Linked DNA regions of Mytilus edulis. The protein of the gene in region 2 purifies or fractionates together with the protein of the main gene of each other region. This does not show direct contact. Links are inferred from orthologs where the notes say so. Each region holds a gene or a part of one and is shown on either strand. Other genes may lie near its edges. The genes, in order: ras-like protein rasD and leucine-zipper-like transcriptional regulator 1.

The links.
Region 1: the proteins of leucine-zipper-like transcriptional regulator 1 (region 2) and ras-like protein rasD purify together in Homo sapiens (affinity purification with mass spectrometry; 3 studies listed by BioGRID and IntAct, counting the BioPlex papers as one, with this or other methods). This does not show direct contact. The link is inferred for Mytilus edulis from reciprocal best matches to the Homo sapiens genes LZTR1 and RIT1.

Annotation. Positions count from the first base shown.
Region 1 is NC_092347.1:47,981,714-47,993,473, reverse strand, and holds the start of ras-like protein rasD, read right to left. Parts: upstream 6,303-11,760; 5' UTR 6,175-6,302; coding exon 6,087-6,174; intron 1,086-6,086; coding exon 1,029-1,085; intron 1-1,028.
Region 2 is NC_092349.1:70,501,735-70,514,291, forward strand, and holds the start of leucine-zipper-like transcriptional regulator 1, read right to left. Parts: upstream 6,349-12,557; 5' UTR 6,232-6,348; exon of another isoform or gene 6,204-6,231; intron 1-6,203. Other genes in the region: cytochrome P450 4A25-like, read left to right, coding at 6,474-6,638, 8,873-9,020. UniProt on the Homo sapiens protein: Substrate-specific adapter of a BCR (BTB-CUL3-RBX1) E3 ubiquitin-protein ligase complex that mediates ubiquitination of Ras (K-Ras/KRAS, N-Ras/NRAS and H-Ras/HRAS).

The DNA.
Region 1 (11,760 bases), on a different chromosome or scaffold from region 2:
ACATCTACATGTTTCACAGTTTCATGAAATTCTGTACTGTGGTTTCAGAGGAGTTACGATGACAAACGGTTGCAGTAGTATATTATTGAGGTCAATAAGTTCAAAGGGGCATAACTCCTAGAAAAAAAGTTGAATCATAATTTCCTGTGGATATGCACATCTACATAGAATGTCCTTGCTATCCACAAAGTTTCATGAAATTCTGTTTTGTGGCTTCAGAGGAGTTGTGATGACAAGAGTAGGACTGACAGAATGGTCAAAAACATTATTCCAGAAGTAAAAGGTTGTTGTACATTGATCAATGAGACTAGACCTTAATAAATGTGTTTCCACTTACAATGTATTTCTATTTCAAGTACTTTAGACTAAAAACATGTAGCATGTAAATTAGGTATTTTAATGTTTAAAGATACATTTCCTGTAAGAAACCATCATGAACTATCTTTTTTTGTTAGATTTGTTGTTTTTTTCTTGTTACATATGTAGCATGTAAAATTCAAATTACAATAAAGATGAGAAAATAAGACATTTGTGATTTCTAATTATATAAACATGATGAATACAACTATTTTTTTATTCACTTAAACATGATGAATACGACTATTTTTTTATATTCACTTAAACATGATGAATACAACTATTTTTTTATTCACTTAAACATGATGAATACGACTATTTTTTTATTCACTTAAACATGATGAATACATCTATTTTTTTATCCACTTTATCAGACCTGACAACTTTCCTAATTTTTGGGGAATATTATCCATATGAGAAGTGTTGAACTTGACTTGAATTTTGAAATTCATTATCATATAAACTGAACACCTTAAAAAAGGCATCCAAATTAGCTAAAAGGTTATTTAAACATTATATAAAACATATGTATAATCATTCAAACAATATACTTATAATCTAAGAACACTCAAGACAATATAAGAAGAGGATTTGTTTCTCTTGAGCTTAAAATCACCCATGGAAATTTTTAAAAGATGGCAGCTGGTGTGCAAAATATACTATGTATTTACCTATCGTTGGATCATGGTAGTCAAGAAATCTGTGGTATACAAACTGTATCACAAGAGCTGAAAGCAGAACAAAATTATTTTTTATCAAACATCTTGCATAATACTCAACAAGGTGTTTGAATTTTTCTGAAAAAAAAAAATCATTTGCCAATCAACGTCTTTTGTATAGTTTGGGGAAGATGAAGATAAGCATGGTAGAATCACACACATTTTAATTTTTTTTCAATGTTTAGAATTCAAATCGTTAAATTCTACATACATTGAACATAATCAATATAAATATTAATGTCAAAGAAACATTATGTCATTAAGACAGCTAAAAGCTAGATGTATAGGTTGTGACTCCTTTTTATACTACTAAAACTCCACCACTTTTACTATAAAGCTTCGTAAAAAATTATATCTTAGAATATTAATGGATAAACATTTTATATGCCCAGAGATTTTAAGAGTTTAAACTTATACTAAAATTCTGTACTGAGTCCTTTTCATTTTTTGTCTGCCACAGATTTCAATATGACTGCTATTTATGTATATTTATACTGGTAACATTCCCAAGTTATGCCTCTGCTAGAATACATGTAGATGAAACAAAGAGATCATATCTGGGAAGCAGCTTAGACAAAATATCTATGAATACATTGGTATTATATATCTCCCAAAAGGAGGCATGGTTAATGTTTGTGAAACAGATGTATTTACAATGTGCAACCAAGGCAATAGAAACTTGTGATCAGGACTGATGATATACAAAGTTTTTTTTATTTGATGCATGTACATTTGTAGCTGCAGTTCAAAGAGCTTTTGATAAATAAAATATGTATAGTTACAGAATGACTTATTGTGTATATGATCAGATGATGTATATCTATCTATCTGAGTAGGCTTTATTTGTAACACAGAAGATTTAATTAATATGCTGTTTTAGGTGTATGTCAATAAGGAAACTTTTATCAATGATCCGGATTCAGGAAGATGAAACATTGATTTATTCTATTTTTTTAATATCTTCTTTTGTCAAAACGTACAACTGTAGAGGTAACAGGTTAATAAAAAAATCAGATGATTGCTGTATGAACATGTTGAAGTATTCTTAATATTATTTATAATATTAGTTTGATAGGGAATTTAAAATGGTTTTAATTATAACAATAAACCACTTGTTGTTTTAACTATTATCATGTAGTCATGGTATTTTTTGTTTTTGTAATTTATTATCAAAATAAGTTAAAAGCTGGGTCCTTTTGAAGTGCACGCCAACCAGGGGCGTTATGGGGAATCCCCCCCCCCCCCCCCAAGATTTGTTTTTTTGGCTAGACGCTAAAGGGTGCGTTCTGAGGGCCTAAATTGGTTTGAATAGCAAATTATTAGGACTGTATTTGATCATTTTTATTTAGAAACATCCTGAATAATTTTCAAAAATCTGCCCTTCGCATTTATAGCTGCAACAACGCATTTATAGCTGCAACAAAAACGTCCATTCTAAATTGACCTCAAAATCACGGTGGATGTGCATAAAACCCAAAGCAGGTAATCTGTGATTTCTCAACAGGTATTGTATCAATAGACAGATACAATGCGGGGTTAACTATATCAAGCGTTTGACACAGTGATGTTGGCACTTTATCACTAGGTAGGATTCGACAGCGAGCTCTCTAGTGTTCAACCTCTCTCTTGTAGTCTTCTAAAGACAACCTGATATATATCTATCAGGTATGTCTGATGAATTGTGACAATTTGGTCATTATTTATTTGTCAGACTATACACACGGAAGAAGATACTGTGCATGAAAATGGTTTTCTGAATTCAGAAGTCGAGAATGAAGTTCCGTCATCCGATATGATCCAGAAACGGATAGAGGAGTAGAGAGAAATTCGCCAGTAATCCTTAGGTGTTTCGGCTGGATGGCTAGCTCTCGAGGTTTGTCTTCAACACCGCCTAGGAACATTTTCAACTATATCAAAAGCCTCTGCTATATCTAGAGCGATTTGGTATAGCTCGTTCCAAACACTCATTATCATCATTTCGCTCGGAACACAACATTTCAGTAACAACTAGTACTGCGGAATCAGATGAGGTCTTGAAAGGCTATTTTATTTTATTTTTAATGCATTGAGGCCTTATTTCGACAGGAAGGTGTCAAAACAGAACAGTATGAAGTAGCCTTTCAACACAATGATTTAAAGAGGGAATTCAGATTAATATTTACCATTATCGTAATTTACATATAAAAGAGGGGCGAAATATACCAAAAGGACAGTCAAACTCATATAAAGGTTATTGTAATTCGTTAAATTGTTCAGGGTTGGATCCAAAGTTGAGAGATAAAAATGAAACAAACGTCAATTGGTCATTTTTTGCCAAAATTGGATTTACAACCCCTGCAGTCCTGTTAGTTCAACGGCGTGAACTACATTTTTTTTTATTGATTATACCTTGTCGGAAATTTGAAGGTGTGGACATCTTTCCATTTGTCAGTCAAAAGTTGTTAAACTTTACATTTTTTCCTAATGATTTTGAATCTTTCAATAAAGAAATATCTGGATTAAAGAAGGTCCCAGATTTTTTTGTACTGGCTTTGACATTGACACTGATGTGGCTCTTATGCTACCGGTTCATCGTAAACCTTGGACGTTTCAGAGTCTATATTGTCCTGATTTGTTGCTAGTTGTGTTTCTGCATGCCTATCACCGTTGGTACTGTTAGTAGGCATTTTGGTTAAAAAATTGTCTAAAGTTTGCCCTTTCGGCTGGTCACGCTTTGAACTGCTCATGTTTACGCTGCTTTTTTACTTTGAGTACCAGAAAAAAAATTCTCACAAATAAATTAAAAAGTATTTTGGTCAGGGTTGATATATACGGAAATATTATTGTGACGTTATTAAAATAGTTATACTGTATTGTTGTCTACGTTTCTTGTTTAAGTTAAATTTTATATTTTTTTGTAATTTTCGGCGTAAATTATTTTTTTAGACCCCACGATGTGCACGTCATGGCGTGACAGCGTATATGGAGCTACGCCCCAGAAAAGTCTTATATTAAACAAAGAAGCCATTTTATCACAGATTAGGATAACAAATTAAATTATTGTCATTTAAATTTTAAAAAATTGTTGGTTTCTTTTTGCATTCTCTAGAGCACACTCTGAAATGTCTCGCTTTCTTTACTTATCATTGCTAATATGTTGATAGTCCTAAATATAAAGCTTTACTACAACTTTCACATAAACTTTACATGATCCAAGAAAATGAGGTCAAGGTTATAAATACTAAACAAGTCATACAAACATTGACTAATGAACCATGTTATTAAAGTCAAGGTCAGATAAACCATGCCACACCGAATATATATACTAGACACATTGCTTATAGTATCTGAGATATGGACTTGATCACCAAAACTCAACCTTGTTCAATGATCCATGAAATGAAGTTGAGGTCAAGTGTAAACTGTCTGAAGGGCATGGAGACTTTGCAAGGTACATTTATGCACATACCAAATATAGTTATCCTATCACTTGTAATTATAAGAGAGAAATTAACTTTACAAAATAATCATAATTTTTTTTTCAAGTACATGTAGTCACTGAACCATGAAAATGAGGTCAAGGACAATGGACATGTTACAGACGGAAACTATGTAACATGAGGCATCTATATATACAAAGTATGAAGCATCCTGGTCTTCCAATATAAAATATTAAGCTTTAAAGAAGTTAGCTAACGCCACCGCTGGATCACTATCCCTATGTAGAGTTTTCTGCAACAAAAATCGCAGGCTCGACAACAAATTAAGCTGGCACCAATTTCGTAGTTTACTAGCAATGTACAATGGTCATGCAATTGAAGTTCAATCCTTGATAATATAATGTTCACTGTCATTTATATTATTTTGTATTTTGGCATAGTTTATGAAACAGTTTTCATTGGAACTTATTATGGGTGACAAATACATTGAAGGTTAACATATTGAATGGGCGAAAATATCTTTAAAAAAATATGAAATATAACAGTTTTACTATAAATGTACATGTACATGCTATACCAGGTGCCAATATGACAATGATATTCAGTATTGCCAGGTGTCAAAGTGACTTGAATTCATCTAGGACTACTCTTTTTCTATGTCTTCCAAATACAGGAGTAGACGCCTATGTAGGAGTGTAAAAAGTTAATATACTTGGATTTATTTTTTCTATACAAGCTAGCCTGGTTTCCAACTCAGTAAAATTAAAATTACCTTAGGGAGCTACCATTTGATTTTTATGGGGGGGCTAGGATGAAAAATTTTGTCCTGCATTTTTTTAGCTGTAATCTCTGTCCTGCCTTTTTATTTTTCACTCTGTTTGGTCCTGCCTTTTTTTTTTAGTTTATCCTGACTTTTTTTTACCTAAATTGTTGTCCTGACTTTATTTTTTGCAAGTGTCTCATCTTGCCTTTTTTTTTACTCAAAACTCCTGTCCTGCCTATTTTTTTCAAATTTCATCCTATCCCCCCATAAAAATCAAATGATAGCTCCCTTAGAGAAGTGGAAACAGCCTTTTTTGTAGTCAACATAATAATGTCGTCTGGCAAGGCTATTTTAATTTTTTTCTGGGACGCTGTAGGAAGGCGTCCAAGAAAAAAAATAAAATAGCCTTGCCAGACCTCATAATTATTTGGACTACCTTTTTTTAATGTAAATTAACATGATCAAGGATTTATTTGTATTACTATACAAATTCTTGACATAATTAACCCAAACTTTTGGATAGTTTTCTCTGTAATTCAGCAATTCTTGCAAACTAGGACCAATATATATTGTAAATCTAATACAAATTAGTTCCAGTTGCAAACAGATATTAGAATGTTAGAATTTTTCACCAATTTGTAGTGGACTTAAATCATCATTTATTTGTGAAAACTAAAAAATAAACAAAAGGCTGAAAAAATGGTCACAGAAAAATATTTAAAATATTTCACATTCCAAACCGTGTCACGTGTGAATCAGTGTCAACTGTCATGGGAAATTACATTTACAATGATAATTAGTTTTAAAGTTTGTCATCTGGTTCCTTACCACTTTTCCCGATTCCACCATCGCCTAAAATGACAATTTTATATTCCCTCGGTTTAGAATTGTCACCGTGGTGATTACTTGAATTCATATTTCCATTTTACTTGTCCTTATAGTTTACATTTTCTATGTTATGCTCCGTTTCCTTATTAAATATATTTATACCCAAATATACAATCTATAAATAGTAACTTTTATCTTCTTAAGGTGCGTGTTCGGTGATTGGTTGAAAGTTTGTTTGACGTAATTTCGGTCCAGACATGCTTTATTTCGCCACTAAATTTATATGATTCTTTCGGCCTTTTTCTTCAAATTTCCGTACTGAATCACAACTTTGACTATTACGTGGCATTGCATCCGCGACTTATGTACAATTAAAAAGAAGTATTTTTTCAGTAATATTACGTAAAATTACTGAACAGAAAGAAATAAATATATTTCAGTTATTTTTTTTTATATTTTTTGTGGATAATCCGATTGTTATCCTGTGTATATTTATATATGCAGTGTTTAGAAAATTTGTGAAACAGCAAATATAAAAATCTGCTCTTTGAAATCGTCAACCGTTGAACAAATGATCAATGATTATAACAGTAAGACCTCAAAAGATCATTGTCGGATAAAAAACTTAACTTAAAATTGCTGCAAGTTTTGTTTATCGGAAAGTTTATCCAACATGAAGAGCCGTGGTGCAGTGATTAATTCATCGGACTACTAACACAAAGTTTCCTGGTTCGATTCCCGTCTGGGATGAAAATCAAGTTCAGGGACTGGATTTTCGGCTCTCCCTTGACACCATTTGCGAGTATGGTCTTGAGGAAACAATGATAGTCCGTCGGAAGGAGACGAAAATGACTGACCCGTGTTAAGAGAGAGCCATATCTCTTGCACGTTAAAGACACCCTTGTAGATTTCGAAAAAGAGTAGGCTAATGCTGCTACAAGGCAGCATTCCGGCACCCGCAAAGTGGAAAGGGATGGATATTAGTTGCAAAACTTGTTTCCCAATCCATTATAAATAAATATGTTTAAACTAACACTGATTTCGATCTAACCCTTCTTGATTAATGAATTTTTCACAAATTAAGTTAAGAGGGTTGGGGGTCAGTAAAAACCAATATGATTTTTTTTTATCATAAGTGATTTGTTCTGCTGTTTGATGTGATTAGAAGATCGTTATGAAATATTGCTAAATATTGGTGTATTATTCATAGAAAAAGCATCTAGTCTTGCATGTATTCGTTTCATTTGTAGTGTATCTAATCCTCGATCTAATCAAATGTCTATATTCCGATTTAAAGGGTCCATATAAATCAGTACACACCACAAAGCTCATATAATATCCATACTTACAACACACACAATCTAACCTAGGAACAGTATAATATATATGTTCCTGATCTAACATTCATACTGATTGAGTTTGTTTTCGATTGAAAATGATAAAGCATGATAAAAACATATAATTGAGGAGAGAGAGGACCAGTACAAAGAGGGATAACTCTATTTGTTTACCTTAACTTGTGTCTCATCTGGAAATTAAAACTGTATAAAAAAAATCTGTAAATCTTCATTTGTCATTATTCAGATAAAAAAGAACTTCTTAATTTATGTTGCTCAGATTTGGAAACTAGTGTATGCCGTCATTGTATATGTTTAAGCATATTTGAGACAGATCGAGCTGGTATTGCGGTATGTTACCATGTGTAGCTGGCAGCTCCTCGTTAGACCATCTCAATCTGATTGGTTTAATTGGTTGTGCTGTGATGGCCCAGGCACAAGAGCTGTACTCCATTTCAGGTCTAACTGACGACTAGAATGTCCTTTCGTTTATTTTTTGGAAGATACATTTATGTTACGTTTTTTGAAAATTTAGCTGTCGTTTTGCATTTGCTTATATCATGATCTACATGGTTTTTTTTCCATTTAAGATCTGATTGAATGGTTATGCATAATATTTTTATACTAGTATCAGTTTGAAAAAAGTGACCATGAAGAATGTAGTCATTGTTGACTTGTTTCTCTTTTTTTTGTATGTAATTCTTAGAAACTGAATGGAGGATAATTTATCTGGATGGAACGATATTAACTGAGTGTTTTCCCATTTTGCTATTGCATCTATAAGTCCTGTTGTAATTTGGATGCATACTATTTGTTTTGATGTTTCTATAGGTGTTGCTGTCATCGGCAAATAACTTTAAAGTGCTATGTTGTAAGTATTCTGGGAAGTCGTTAATGAAGATAAGGATTTAAATTGTGCCAAGGAAAGTGCCCTGTGTTATTAAAGATCTTGCCCTTTTTTCTCTGATCGTTCTTCATCTTGCGTGTCTGTCTTTGTACGTTGATGTAAAAACAATCACAAACCCTTTCCAAGGTATTATGGTCTATGGCGTAAAATCGTAATTATGCAGTTACCTTTTGTTAGGGATTTTGTCAAAAGCTTTGGAAAAGTCCATCACAGACATTAGTTATAATATGTTGTCATTGTTGTCTTCTCCATGCAAGATCGTGTATAAAAGATATAATTGTGTCTCACGTGAGAGTTGAGATCAAAAGCCGCGTTGAAGGTCGTATAATATATTGGTTTTTTTTTCTCTTAAGGTGTTTCATGTTTGACTTTACTCCACTATTTTGCAAAGTATATATTGACCTGTATTTTATGGTATTGTGTTCGTTTTTAATACAGGAATAACTTATTTTTATGTTTTCAGTCTGTAGTTATTCTATGTGTGTTGATTGACTTTGAAAGATGATTGTGATAATCCTTTAAAATATATCCACATACTAAGTTCACCAATGCCAATGGCTCAGTTTATTTGGGTTAATGTTGTATAGGAATTTGTTGACGCTCTTTTCTGATATTAAAGTTTTATCCATTTGTGCATGTGTTGATATATACTAGTATTGGGTTGTCAGTGGTGAATGCTTTTGGGAATTGCTCGCCGAGCGCATGTCTGTCTGCAATGTTTTTTCATACATGAAGTGTGTGTATTTATTTGCAGTTGTTGATTTTTCTTTAATTCTTAATGCAGACGTTTTGTTTTCTTTTAAATTTGATTCTTAGTTGGTCTGTGATCCAAGGCAATTTCTTTTTTTTTTATGTTATTTGTTTTTGACCTATAAGCACTGATGGTGTTTATAAACTCATTGGTTTTACTTTTACCATAAATTATTTTGATCGTTTCTTTTAGTAGTTGGATGTCTTAATGCTTTCCCAGTTTGCTTTATGAATTGGTGGACTTTTCTTGTTGCTCTTTTATTTTTTTTTAGTGATATTGTACATTCAGTGATTACGATGTCCCAATAGGTGGCATTACCTCCAATTTATTTTTTATGTGTGGGGCAATTTTTAAGATAAGATCTATAGTATTCTTTCACCTCTTGTTGGTTTGTCTACTACATGACCAAAAGAGTTGTCATTTGTTATGTCAGTATGAATATGATATTTCTTTAATATCTGGGTTTCCGCGGTGCAATGGCACTTATATTATTTCTGTTTTTGCTTAAAGTGGGTTCAGTCGTTTGAGTTGCAATTTAGAAGATATTTTGTTAACAAAACACAACACAACATAGAAAAATAAAGTCTGAGAACGTTAACCACCAAACAAAACCCGGAGGTGATTTCATGTGATACAGAAGGGAAAAACAGATCCTGTTCAACATGCAAAACCCGTACGTCGTGTATTTCCTATAGAATAGATTAATAAGTCAAATCAAGTCATTAAAAATCACACAAAATCGGATTGGAAATTGGCTCTTATTTAACTACAAAAGAGGGACGATACCAGGGAGAGTAAGAGTCAAACTCATAGGTAGAAAATAAACTGACAACGCCATGGCTAAAAAAAAGACAAATAGACAAATAATAGTACAGAAGACACAACATAGAAAACTAAAGGCTAAGCAACACGACCCCATCAAAAACTGGGGGGGGGGGGGGGATATCAGGTGCTCCGGAAGAGCAAGCAGATACTGCTACACATGTGGCATGACAGGGAGGCTATGATGATTGTTGTTGGATATTGGAGGCAGTGATGGTGGCAGTTTGGAGAGAAACGTACGCCAAATAAGGAGAAAATGGAACGTATCCATCATGGCAACAGTAACTGTTGACAGATTGGGAAAATAAATTCCCGTTGTCACCATATGCAGATTAAAATGATAAAATTATCAATATTAAGTTATACAAAACTGATTACAACAATCAATGTCACAGTGACCTTGGACTTAAATGAGATATAGATCATCGGTATAAAGACATCATTCGTAAATATAGCTCAACATGCAGACTTCTAATACGTTCAGGTATTTCACATCCAATTTTTTATGGAAATATTCTTTATAAAGCACAAAGGTGTCAGTATTCACCTCAGAAACTTACAAAACCTTTGAATAGACTTATTAAGAAGGGATATAATTACGATACTGTTGTCAAGTCATTAAAGATTGCATATTTTGGCGTTAATATTGAGTCACTGATAAGGTCTTTGCATCGGAACTAAACACATTTATTCTAAAAACAGTTGCTGGCATGACACGGGTTATGTTCTTCTCATATATGTTATGATGGTATGATACTAAACCCCTAAGGATTGTGCCTGATGTTCATATGATGAAATCATAATCTTTCAGTCAGTTTAATTGAAGTCTGGAGCTGGCATGTCAGTTAACTGCTACGTAGTCTGTTGTTATTTATGTATTATTGTCATTTTGTTTATTTTCTTTGGTTACATCTTCTGACATCAGACTCGGACTTCTCTTGAACTGAATTTTAATGTGCGTATTGTTATGCGTTTACTTTTCTACATTTGTTAGAGGTATAGGGGGAGGGTTGAGATCTCACAAACATGTTTAACCCCGCCGCATTTTTGCGCCTGTCCCAAGTCAGGAGCCTCTGGCCTTTGTTAGTCTTGTGTTATTTTAATTTTAGTTTCTTGTGTACAATTTGGAAATTAGTATGGCGTTCATTATCACTGGACTAGTTTATATTTGTTTAGGGGCCAGCTGAAGGACGCTTCCGGGTGCGGGAATTTCTCGCTACATTGAAGACCTGTTGTTGACTCTCTGCTGTTGTTTTTTTATTTGGTCGGGTTGTTGTCTCTTTGACACATTCCCCATTTCCATTCTCAATTTTATGTATTTCATTTGTATATTCAGGAAACTCTGGATTGTTAGCAGAGACTTTTTCGTAAAACATCTGCATGTAGGTAGTGTTGCAAATACCCGCGAACAATTGTTGCCCGTAACTATTTATGACGTGAAGCAGTAATGAAAGAAATCTTCAAAATAGAGAGGCGAACAATACCAAGGAGACATTCAAACTCATAAATAGAAAATAAACTGAAAACGCCATGGCTGAAAAAGAAAACGACCAACAGACCAACAATAGTACACAAAACACAACATATAAAACTAACCGAGCAACACGAATAATAGGATAGTTCGTCCCTATCGAAAAGAATACAAATTGCTTGACGGTGTACTCTCCAAATCAAATATAAATATTATCAAGAAAAAAAACAAATAAAAATCACTAAAGATATAAGGGTTAAAAAGTATATATGCTTATGTATGATCAGCACTTTTTCCCTTAATAACAAGAATGTGTCCATAGTAGTCAGATGCCCCATCCGCATTATCATTTTCTATGTTCAGTGGCCCGTGAAAGTGGGATAAAA
Region 2 (12,557 bases):
CCACTTAGGAACTAAAGTTTTTTGTCTTGGTCTTTCAAGACTAAAACTACGAACCAAAAGAGAAATATGCTCATTGATTCCAAAATCTGGGCCACCAGAAATATGAATAGTTCTTGAGATAGCTGATCTATATCCCTTAATAGTAGAGGGACATAATCCTTTGGATTCAAAAAGAAAAACTAGAAAGTCTGCTAATTGTTGTACAGTGACTTGGAAAGGATCAATTTCCCGCTCACTACACCAATCTGAGAAGATTGACCATTTTGCATCATAGACAATGCTAGTGGAGTCTCTGACAGACTTTGTGAGATGCTTGGTTGCTCCTTCAGAAAAACCTCTCTTTCTGAGGCTAACCCTGAGAGAAGCCAGGCGTGTAGATGAAGTTTTTCTGGATTTTGATAAAGAACCTTGCCCTTGATTTGAGACAGAAGGTCTGGTCTCAGAGGTAGAACTAGAGGACAAGCACATGATAGGCGCAGAAGGTCTGGAAACCAAGACTGTTTTGGCCATGCTGGAGCAATAACTATGATCTTGCAATTTTCCCCTGCTATTTTCTGAAGTACTGGGGAGAGAAACCTGAAAGGAGGGAAGGCGTACCCGAACATTCCTTTCCAAGATAGGCTCATTGCGTCTACCGCAAAAGATTTTGGATCTGGAACCGGAGACACAAATGTTAGAAGTTTGTGATTGAGACTGGTCGCAAACAGATCTATCTGAGGTGACCCCCAATGAAGAGTCACAGCTTTGAAAACTACTTGAAGTAGTTCCCACTCCGTGTTTACTGGAGCAAGGGATCTTGATAGAGTGTCGGCTAGAATATTGAGGTGCCCCGCAATATGTCTCACCACTAGATGAACCTGGAGTTGAAAACACAGAAGGAGAATGTCTCTGGCTATCTGATAAAGAGAAGGTGAATGAGTTCCTCCCTGATTCTTGAGATAAGCTACAACTGTTGTGTTGTCCGTGGCCAGAATGACAGACTGATTCTTTAGAGACATTTGGAAATGATTCAGTGCAAACAGAACTGCTTTCATTTCCAATACATTGATATGCTCTTCCAAAAGATCTGGACTCCAGACTCCCGAGATTGTAAGCCCCTCCAGATATGCTCCCCAAACGAGGGTGGAGGCATCTGTGAATAATGTTAGACTGGGAACTTGAGGGGACAGACATAGGCCCCTCATTACATTTTCCCGTACTAACCACCATTGAAGGTGTGGAAATAAAGGCTGAGTGATTGGAATCAATGCTTCCCATTCTTGTGAAGCTGCAATCCATAACTTGTGCAGATAAAACTGAAGCGGACGAATGTGAAGTCGTCCCAATGGAATTACATCTGCCAGAGAGTTCAATAGACCCAGAAGTTGCAAGAATTGACGTGCTGTGACTGATTGAACCGTCAGGAATAAATGTATTTTCTGACATAGTTTTGTAAATTTCTCCTCTGGTGGGAGGACTAGGCCTACACTGGTAAGGAAATGTTCTCCCAGGAAAACAAAGTCTTGAGACGGAATTATCTCTGACTTTTTCCAAGAGATAAGAAAGCCTAGGGACAGAAAACAATTGATGACCAAGTCTGTCTGAACCCTCAATTTGATTGGGCAAAATTCCTTGAGAAGGGAATCGTCCAGATAGGAATGAATCTGAATAGACAGGGAATGTAGGTGAGCTATAGCTGCCTGCATGATTTTGGTAAAAGCCAAAGGGGCTGTAGACAGGCCAAAAGGGAGAGCCTTGAACTGGAAAACTTTGTTGTTCCAAACGAAGCGAAGGTATTTCCTGTAAGTTTTGGAAATGGGAATGTGGAAATACGCGTCTGAAAGATCCAGAGAAGTAGTCCACATTCCTGGAAGGATTGAAACCCTGATAAATCTGTTTGTTTCCATTTTGAAGGGGGGAACAATAAGAAATTTGTTCAGAATAGATAGGTCTATGACTGGCCTCATTCCTCCAGTCTTCTTTGGAACCAGAAAAAGACGGGAATAAAATCCCGGAGACAGAGTTAAGATCGACACCTCCTCTATTGCAGCTTTTTGTAACATAGTGTCCACTTCTACTGATAGAAGTTGACACTTGACTGGGTCTTGTGTATGAGACAAACTTATTGGAACTGCAGATAGAGGAGGTGGGTTCTTGAACTGAAGTGTTAATCCCCCTCGAATTATTGACAGCACATAACAGTCTGAGGTAATTTTCTTCCACTGATTTAGGAAAAAACTTAACCTCCCCCCTACTGGTATTGATTTTTGAGGAACTTGTTGTAAATTTTCCCCTGGGGAAGCTGTCAATAACGTACGAGGGGGCAAGAACCTAGGTACTAGACCCAGGTTTCTTGGAACCCTTAAAACCACCAGAAGGCTTACCTGAGCTTTTTCCTGAGTTATTGGGTTTGTTCTGCGGTTTGCCGTAGTTATTCTTCCTTTTCTTAGCAGAAGAAGGAGGACCACCTGAAGCAGAAGTACTATTAGAACTAGAGGTAGCATTAACCGACCTCTTGCCATTAGTAACTTGTACACTAACTTTGACTGGAGGAGGGTTTTTGCTGAGTTCCTCTTGAACCCGCTGTAAGGGTAAACCAAACATCTTGTCAGAGAGTGGAGATTTCAGTAAAGAATCTTTCAAAGGCTCAGCGATAGAAATGTTTTCAAGAAACTCTGCTCTTTTAGATAGGGTGCAATTAGCAATAGAACCCATTAAAAGCAACTGAGATGAACCTAAAGCTTTATCCAGTTGAAGTAAGAAGGATCGTACTTCTGCTGGAACAACCGAATCTTCGCTGTTAAGCAAATGTCCGGTTGCAGCTAGAAAATGTTCGGCTGTGCCAAGAACTTGAGAAGCACTACGAAGGAGATTCTCAGTCTTTGACCAAACAGGTTGAGTGAGACGAAGACCATCTACTGGCTTTTTTCCCAATAAAGATGACATAGATTTGTCACAACTGGGAACAAGTCTACCCAGTGAAGAATCAAAGATATCAAAATCCTTGTACTTAACCTGATCAGAAAAGGATGACATTCCAAATCCTGAGATATTGTTATTAGTAACCTTTTCACTAGCAGAATTAGCGATACCTTCATTAATAAATTGTAAAGCAAAAGTCATATGGCCAGATTCAGGAAAAGAATTGTGAGAAGTCACAGTATCCTGAGAAATACCACAGGAAGCTTCAAAAGTTGAAGAAGGTTTCTTCGGCTTGGAAGGAGAGAGAAAAGGGATATGTGCTTCATCCCTCATCAAGGTATACACCTTATCCCTTAGATCCTTCAAGGAAGGAGGATCCTCAGTCTCCTTGGTGGGAGGTTGTTGAGCTGACTTAGAAGAAGGCTCAGGGGCCGTCTTCGATACCTTGGGAGAAGAAGAACTTTCAACATCCTCATCAGTGAGGAAAGCCCTTTCATGACTCCCAGGGGAAACAGAAAGCTCGTCATCCTCACTCTCATCACATTCTACAGACTTAGCTGGAGAAGGTTGATGAGAAGAAACTCTATTTTCCAGTAGAGTCATACGACTGGATAGAGTACTAAATTCAGCCTTGAAAGACTCACCAAAGTCTAAAAGTAACTTCTGTAAACCATCCAAAGGTGATGCATGATCAGAAACCTGAGTACCATGAGAAGAACTAGAAGCTTGAGAGTCAGGTACGGTGGTAGAAGGAGCTACTGCAGAAGTCAAAGATACTGCTACGGGTAGAGCAGGAGCTAAAGGTGGTGCAGTAGCTACCCCAGAAGGGGGACCATAGAAATTGTCCCTATAAGGCCAAAAACCAGGTTGGTTTGGCATAAACCCACCATAAGGGTAAGACTGTGGCCAAGGTGGCTGAGACCATGAGGGTAAAGGTTGTGTGCCCGTGTTGGGAAGCATATACCCACAATAGGATAATGGGGGTCTAGAACCTGGCAAGTTCAAGCCCATAGCTGTACCTGGGACAGAACTAATAGTACCCGCTGAATTAACAGACCTAGATAAAGTATGAGTCACCGAAGTTGACGTAGGTACCCCCCCAAAATGCATGGCCGAACCTTGTGAAAGGGTCGGATAGGTAGCATTACCAGACACCGTTGTCGAAACTCCGGTCAATGTACTGGTAGTTTGGGGGGGACTTAAAGGTAGTGACCCATCTAAGAGATAGTCCGAACCAGGAATACTTACATACGGACTATTCAAATTAAAGTCCATAATAAATTTTACTTTAGTCAAAAACACAAATAATTTGTTTAGAAATTTAAACAAAACAAGGGAATATATTTCCAATAAAATACACAATATATATGAAAAGCAATTAAGCTATTCAAAAAACTAAACACTTCTCTGTTGAATCTGTAAAACTTGATGTGCACGTGTGACCGATGTCGCAGATGGAAATTGAATGGAAGAATATGGGCAAACCATTTCAAACAGGGGTATATGTCCGGACCAGTGAGAGTATGTTTATTTTTAGTTGGGATTTTCCATCTGACCTATGACGCAATTGGGGTTACACTCAGAATTTATGATGGTAACGTATTTATAGCTATAAAATCATTAACTTTTTTTTTCTTGTTTGCATGAGACTTTGAATAAAATATATATTTATCAGTCTACATGGTCTAGTAAAATATAAGATTGGAACTCAATACAAATTCATTTTTAATAATTGTTTGATATGAAAAAAACGTTACTTGATGAAAGCGTTTCTTTTGTCTACTTTGAATATGATGTCATAACTTAAAGAACGTCACAGCTAAATCCCTAACAACAGAACCAAAATCGGGAATGTTTCAGTATTTCCGTTTCTTTTATCAATATGTTTGAATAAAAAAAATAATGTATACAGACTTTGTCCCCATTCACAGGTTATGCCTGCCTCATTGTAATAGATGTGCTTTGATCATGTTGATGTGCCTGATTAATTCCCTTAATTTGGACAGATTAATTATTTAGTATTTAAATGTTTATTTTAAGTTAAATTTGATTTAAAAATAGTATGATAAAAGTAAAGAATGTTAATTCTACTGTTTTAGTATTTAACTTTTGATGTTTTTATAATGTTTTAAGAATATATTTATTCAACTTTTCTTCAGTACCTTTTCTGTTAAAGTTAGCCTGATTAATGACAAGTTTAGAATATCATTTGATATTCAGTCGGAGTCTGCCTTACACAGGCCTCCAAATACTCGACGGACTGTATCAGTCTACTTGAGTCTAGAGTTAGTCACCTCGTCAGTGCAGTTCGCCAGAGTTAATCACCCCTTTTTGGTGCAATTTCACTACTTTAAATACACAACACGAAGCTATTTTAATTTACGTTTAAGACTAACTCTCGGAACACTTTATTTTCATTTTACATTTGATATTACTCTATTTTTGAACTCCATTGACTTTGTTTAATACATGCAATACATATTTTCGAACATCCTGGCACTTTTAATTTCTAGGAGGTGAAATTCTCTGAATTTTACCTCAAACTCTATGGGAAAAAACAATTTTTAGTTCCAATTTAAAACCAAATGGTAAAAGATATCACAAAGATTTTTAAAACACATGTCTAATATGATAAGGAGATTTGAAAAAACGATCTTAAATTTAATTTTAATGATTCAACAAAAATTAAATTGAGTTTTAAGTTTGTGTACCTATATATGGTAAAACCCGAGGATTTGCCACCGCTTCAACTCCTATATTCAAATAGATAAACACAATCTAATTATCTGATTGGTCAATCTTCAGCTGTGATGCAAGCATGAAATTATGTATTATTGTACATTTGTGAATAAACTATAGTTTCATTTGATTTTTTGTCTGCTGTTCAGCCATTATCTGATATCAGGTATCACGCTGGTCGAATAGGGGCAAAGTACAGGCCACTACACGTCCCGGGAGGTGTCGTCACCAAACCCCTCCGTTACACTCATATTAAATATTGATAATTGTATTGAATACATATTTACTTTCTTTATATATATGATTGTAAATCGTTTTTCTGTCTGGAGTTTAATTTGAAGTACCCCATACACTGTATCCAGAACCACTCCCTGTACACAACAGAAATACTACTACAGGTCCCAATTTGACTAAGTGCAGAATTGACTATAACTGGTGCCGATTTGACTATGAGTCGAAGTGACTAAAACAGTAGAAATCCATGTTTTGTGTGCATTTTGTCTCTTTTTAGAACTTTTTCCTGTTTGAAAATTATTTATTGAACTGAAAAAAAAAACGTGTACCGTCTGTTATCATTTACTGATCTCATACCATAAATTCCATTTGTCTTCTCGTTTTTTATCAATTCATCTACATTTTAACGGCATTTTCTGGTTTTCGAGGCCCTAATTTTTATTCTTTCATGTGTTTACAAAATGACCGGAAGTGTTGATCGGAACTCCTCGTTCCTGAGCTATCCGAAAGCACTCATGTGCTGTTTGTTTACTTTTTGATCACTGTTGATAGCAGATTAGAAATGGATTGATGACCCAAACTATTAATTGACAGTCAAAATGGCGATAGTTTTCACGTTGATAGTGTCATCCGTCATTTTGTTTTCTATTTACTACTTGGCTACTAAGTTTTCAGAATGGTTTTTGTGGACATCAAAAAGAAACAAAATGATAGAAAGTTTTCCAGGAAGACCGGCTCATTTGATTTGGGGAAACCTGAAAGAAGTTTGTAACTTATTAAGTAGTAATAAACTTGATGAAAATTTGCCATTGCAATGATTTTTCTGATCAGATACCTATATCTATACATTAATTTATACTTATTCCTAGCATTTTTACACTAGGCATGCTAGGCAGAGGGGCGTCATGTAGTCCAAATAATTATGACGTCTTGAAAGGCTAGCTATTATAATTTTTTCTTTGACGCCTTGCGTCAAAGAAAAAATTATAATAGCCTTTCAAGACGTCATAATTATTTGGACTAGGCGTCATGCAGTTACCTCCGCTGCGTAACAAATGAAGGACCTTTGTAAAGACATGGGAATTGAGCCATTTTATTTTGCAAGAATTCTGGAATAGCAATTTAAATCGTACAGAATTTAGAATTTATTTATATCTTGATGTGGGAATGGACACATTATTTAAGGGCATACGATTCAGTTACAGGGGAGGTAATGTAAATTGTTATTTTTGCGACGTCAAACTATGACTTATCGGGAAAAGATTCTGTTTTTGACTGATTTTTATCATTCAAACTTATTTAACTTGAAAACGAGTTACGCATGGACCCCTCTTTTTTAAAATGCCATTTGGTTTGATTACGTAAGAAGATTGGGTGTGCCAATTTTCGTCGATAGTGCAATTATTTTAAATTTGATAAATATACATAAAAAAATGATGTTTTTTTCTACATTTGTGAACATTTGATAAATATGAGTGACTTAAAAAAAAAAAATGCACAAATTTAAAGGATGTTTATATAAGATAATTTGACAAAAAACAGCTTGTGTTTATCTTTTAAAACAAAAAAAGTTATGTATTTCTGTCAAAGGAAAAATACGTTCACAAATCCTTTTGAGCAAATATATAAAATTTAGACCTCATTTTACTCAAAAAGTAGCACATGAACTTCAGGTTTATTTTTTATTACATATTTGATTTAATCAGGCAAAAAATAGCTGATATGCAAATTTTCAGCAAAATTTCAATATTTGATCAAAACTGTATCGTATACTCTTAAGTGGAATATGGGATTTAATTTTATGAGGATGTTTTTTTGTCACACCATTACCTCTTAAATTATTAAAAATTACCTACAAAACCACAAAATTAAAGAAATATCAGTAAAATCTTCAGAGAAAGTTGAACAAAAATTATTTCATGGGCAACATATTGTTCTTAAGAATATTGATGAAAGATTATAAATGAATTCAACAGAGATAATCATATATCAATGTATATCATGTATATCTTTCTTAAATAGAGAGATGTTTTTCTAAAACAGCAATCTCCAACCTCTTCATTAATCAATTTACTGGTAAATTTGAAAGATGAATAAGATGAACAAACCAACACTAAATATGCTAAAGGTACATGTACTAAAAAAGTACACCCTGGAAATACTTCTTACCAAACATTTGTATACATTGTACCTCATAGGATAACACATCAACATGCCAATGTATTGTCTGTCTGGTTTACTGTGAGATTTTGGTTTGATCCATTACCTGATTAGCATGATTAGATCAAAGACTTGAAACTAAGTATTTTCTTCTCTTTTGACCAGCATTTGGCATCAATGATTAATAGCAAGTCTTTTTGGTCGTCGAGTCAAAATTCTATATTTGTCCTAGTAGAGTGATATGTCTTCCTTCCAGCTGTAACGGTGAATTTTAAACCTTGTAAACTAGTATGATAATAATCTTGTTCATGACATGTGTGTCAGCCTAGCACATCTCATATTTTATCAACATGTTCTCATTCAATAATGCATGAAATATTTGCAACTGGACTTTAGACCAATTGATGAAAAACAAACTTACAATATGGATGATTAAAATTGCTAGTGTAAACATGATTCTCATGAACATGTTAAAATCATCTGAAGTCTTTTTTTTTTCTTTCCAATGATAGTCCAAATTTTCAGTTTATAGTTAATTGTCCCATATTCAACTGAACATGTGCCTGAATAATTATTTGATTCAACTACATGTATGTCGTACAAACATTTAGTACATGCACATATATATTCTATTGAGCTTAAATTATCATATTTTAGTATCCAGGTCCGAACGAGGCAGGTTTGCAGTGGACTAAAGAATGGGTGGCAGAATTTCCATGGGCATCTAGATTTTGGCTTGGACCATTTATTCCACTGATCTGTATATATCATCCTGATACAACTAAATTAGTTCTAAAATCTTCGGGTAAATATTACTAAATTTACTATCTATTTATAGTTCCCAGGTATTAACGATGAAGGGCTCAAGTTCCAGAGAGAACAGACTGGATTATTTCCAAAAGTGTCTCGTGGTTGGTTAGGACCCTTTTTGCCAATGCTATTTGTATACCATCCAGAAACTACCAAAATTGTCTTGAAATCATCAGGTATGTTTCAATCCTTCTAGTGAATAAATTCCCAGTGGCTGTCCAATTTCACTGCCTTTTTAGCTCACCTGGCCCGAAGGGCCAAGTGAGCTTTTCCCATCACTTTGCGTCCGGCGTCCGTCGTCGTCCGTCGTCCATCGTCCGTCGTCGTTAACTTTTACAAAAATCTTCTCCTCTGAAACTGCTGGGCCAAATTGAACCAAACTTGGCCACAATCATCATTGGGGTATCTAGTTTAAAAAATGTGTGGCGTGACCCGGTCAACCAACCAAGATGGCCGCCACGGCTAAAAATAGAACATAGGGGTAAAATGCAGTTTTTGGCTTATAACTCAAAAACCAAAGCATCTAGAGGAAATCTGACATGGGGGTAAATATGTTTATCAGGTCAAGATCTATCTGCCCTGAAATTTTCAGATGAATCGGTCAACCCGTTGTTGGGTTGCTGCCCCTGAATTGGTCATTTTGAGGAAATTTTGCTGTTTTGGGTTATTATCTTGAATATTATTATAGATAGAGATAAACTGTAAACAGCAATAATGTTCGGCAAAGTTAGATTTACAAATAAGTCAACATGACCGAAATGGTCAGTTGACCCCTTTAGGAGTTATTGCCCTTTATAGTCAATTTTTAACCATTTTTCATAAATATAAGTAATCTTTTACAAAAATCTTCTCCTCTGAAACTACTGGGCCAAATTATTCCAAACTTGGCCACAATCATCTTTGGGGTATCTAGTTTAAAAAATGTGTGGCGTGACCCGGTCAACCAACCAAGATGGCCGCCACGGCTAAAAATAGAACATAGGGGTAAAATGCAGTTTTTGGCTTATTACTCAAAAACCAAAGCATTTAGAGGAAATCTGATGGGGTGAAAATGTTTATCAGGTCAAGATCTATCTGCCCTGAAATTTTCAGATGAATCGGTCAACCTGTTGTTGGGTTGCTGCCCCTGAATTGGTAATTTTGAGGAAATTTTTGCCGTTTTTGGTTATTATCTTGAATATTATTATAGATAGAGATAAACTGTATAAGCAATAATGTTCAGCAAAGTTAGATTTACAAATAAGTCAACATGACCAAAATGGTCAGTTGACCCCTTAAGGAGTTATTGCCCTTTATAGTCAATTTTTAACCATTTTTCATAAATCTAAGTAATCTTTTACAAAAATCTTCTCCTCTGAAACTAATGGGTCAAATTAATCCAAAGTTGGCCACAATCATCTTTGGGGTATCTAGTTTAAAAAATGTGTGGCGTGACCCGGTCAACCAACCAAGATGGCCGCCACGGCTAAAAATAGAACATAGGGGTAAAATGCAGTTTTTGGCTTATAACTCAAAAACCAAAACATTTAGAGGAAATCTGACATGGAGTAAAAATGTTTATCAGGTCAAGATCTATTTGCCCTGAAATTTTCAGATGAATCGGTCAACCCGTTGTTGGGTTGCTGCCCCTGAATTGGTAATTTTGAGGAAATTTTTGCCGTTTTTGGTTATTATCTTGAATATTATTATAGATAGAGATAAACTGTATAAGCAATAATGTTCAGCAAAGTTAGATTTACAAATAAGTCAACATGACCAAAATGGTCAGTTGACCCCTTAAGGAGTTATTGCCCTTTATAGTCAATTTTTAACCATTTTTCATAAATCTAAGTAATCTTTTACAAAAATCTTCTCCTCTGAAACTAATGGGTCAAATTAATCCAAAGTTGGCCACAATCATCTTTGGGGTATCTAGTTTAAAAAATGTGTGGCGTGACCCGGTCAACCAACCAAGATGGCCGCCACGGCTAAAAATAGAACATAGGGGTAAAATGCAGTTTTTGGCTTATAACTCAAAAACCAAAACATTTAGAGGAAATCTGACATGGAGTAAAAATGTTTATCAGGTCAAGATCTATTTGCCCTGAAATTTTCAGATGAATCGGTCAACCTGTTGTTGGGTTGCTGCCCCTGAATTGGTAATTTTGAGGAAATTTTTGCCGTTTTTGGTTATTATCTTGAATATTATTATAGATAGAGATAAACTGTAAACAGCAATAATGTTCATCAAAATAAGATTTACAAATAAGTCAACATGACCGAAATGGTCAGTTGACCCCTTTAGGAGTTATTGCCCTTTATAGTCAATTTTTAACCATTTTTCGTAAATCTTAGTTATCTTTTACAAAAATCTTCTCCTGTGAAACTACTGGGCCAAATTAATTCAAACTTGGCCACAATCATCTTTGAGGTACCTTGTTTGAAAAATGTGTCCGATGACCTGGCCATCCAACCAAGATGGCCACCACGGCTAAAAATAGAACAGGGGTAAAATGTAGTTTTTTGCTTACAACTCTGAAACCCAAATTATTTAGAGGAAATCTGACAAGGAGTTAAATTGTTAATCAAGTCAATATATATCTGCCCTGAAATATTCAAATGAATTGGACAACCGGTTGTTGGGTTGCTGCCCTCCAATTGGTAATTTTTAAAGAAATTTTGCTGTTTTTGGTTATTATCTTGAATACTATTATAGATAGCGATAAACTGTAAACAGCAATAATGTTCATCAAAGTAAGATCTACAAATAAGTCCACATGACCTAAATGGTCAATTGACCCCTTAAGGAGTTATTGCCCTTTATAGTCAATTTTTAACAATTTTCATTAATTTGGTAAATTTATGTAAATTTTTACCAAATATTTTTCTCTGTTACTAATGGGCAAAGTTCATTATAGATATAATTGTAAGAAGCAAGAATGTTCAGTAAAGTAAGAACTTCAAACACATCACCATCACCAAAATACAATTTTGTCATGAATCCATTTGTGTCCTTTGTTTAATATGCACATAGACCAAGGTGAGCGACACAGGCTCTTTAGAGCCTCTAGTTCCCCTGTCTACCCAAACCCATACTTATCATGCTTATAGAACCTTATCTATTGGGTTAATTACAAACTATAAAAAGACAACAACATCTACTAGTCTTCACTTCCTTTATTTATTATATTTATTGATCATTTGTTCTTGCTTATACATGCATGTAATATTTGCCACTGGACAAACAATAATTTAATCAATGTTACTCATGAAACACTTTAACATATTAACAACACACATCAGCAAAAGATGTGGTATTGGTAAAAGTCTGTCCTTGAATAAAAATGATTTACCTGTTACCAATTGCAGTTAGGGATCATGTGATGCATGAAAAAAAGTATGGCGGTCAATCATCAAGGTGACAGCAAGCATGCAATCAAAGATGCATTTTTATGTTTGTTAAGTAAAGTAATTAACAAAAAATACCATATGTTTTTTAGCTCACCTGGCCCGAAGGGCCAAGTGAGCTTTTCCCATCACTTTGCGTCCGGCGTCCGTCGTCGTCGTCCGTCGTCTGTCGTCCGTCGTCGTCCGTCGTCGTTAACTTTTACAAAAATCTTCTCCTCTGTAACTACTGGGCCAAATTGAACCAAACTTGGCCACAATCATCATTGGGGTATCTAGTTTAAAAAATGTGTGGCGTGACCCGGTCAACCAACCAAGATGGCCGCCAC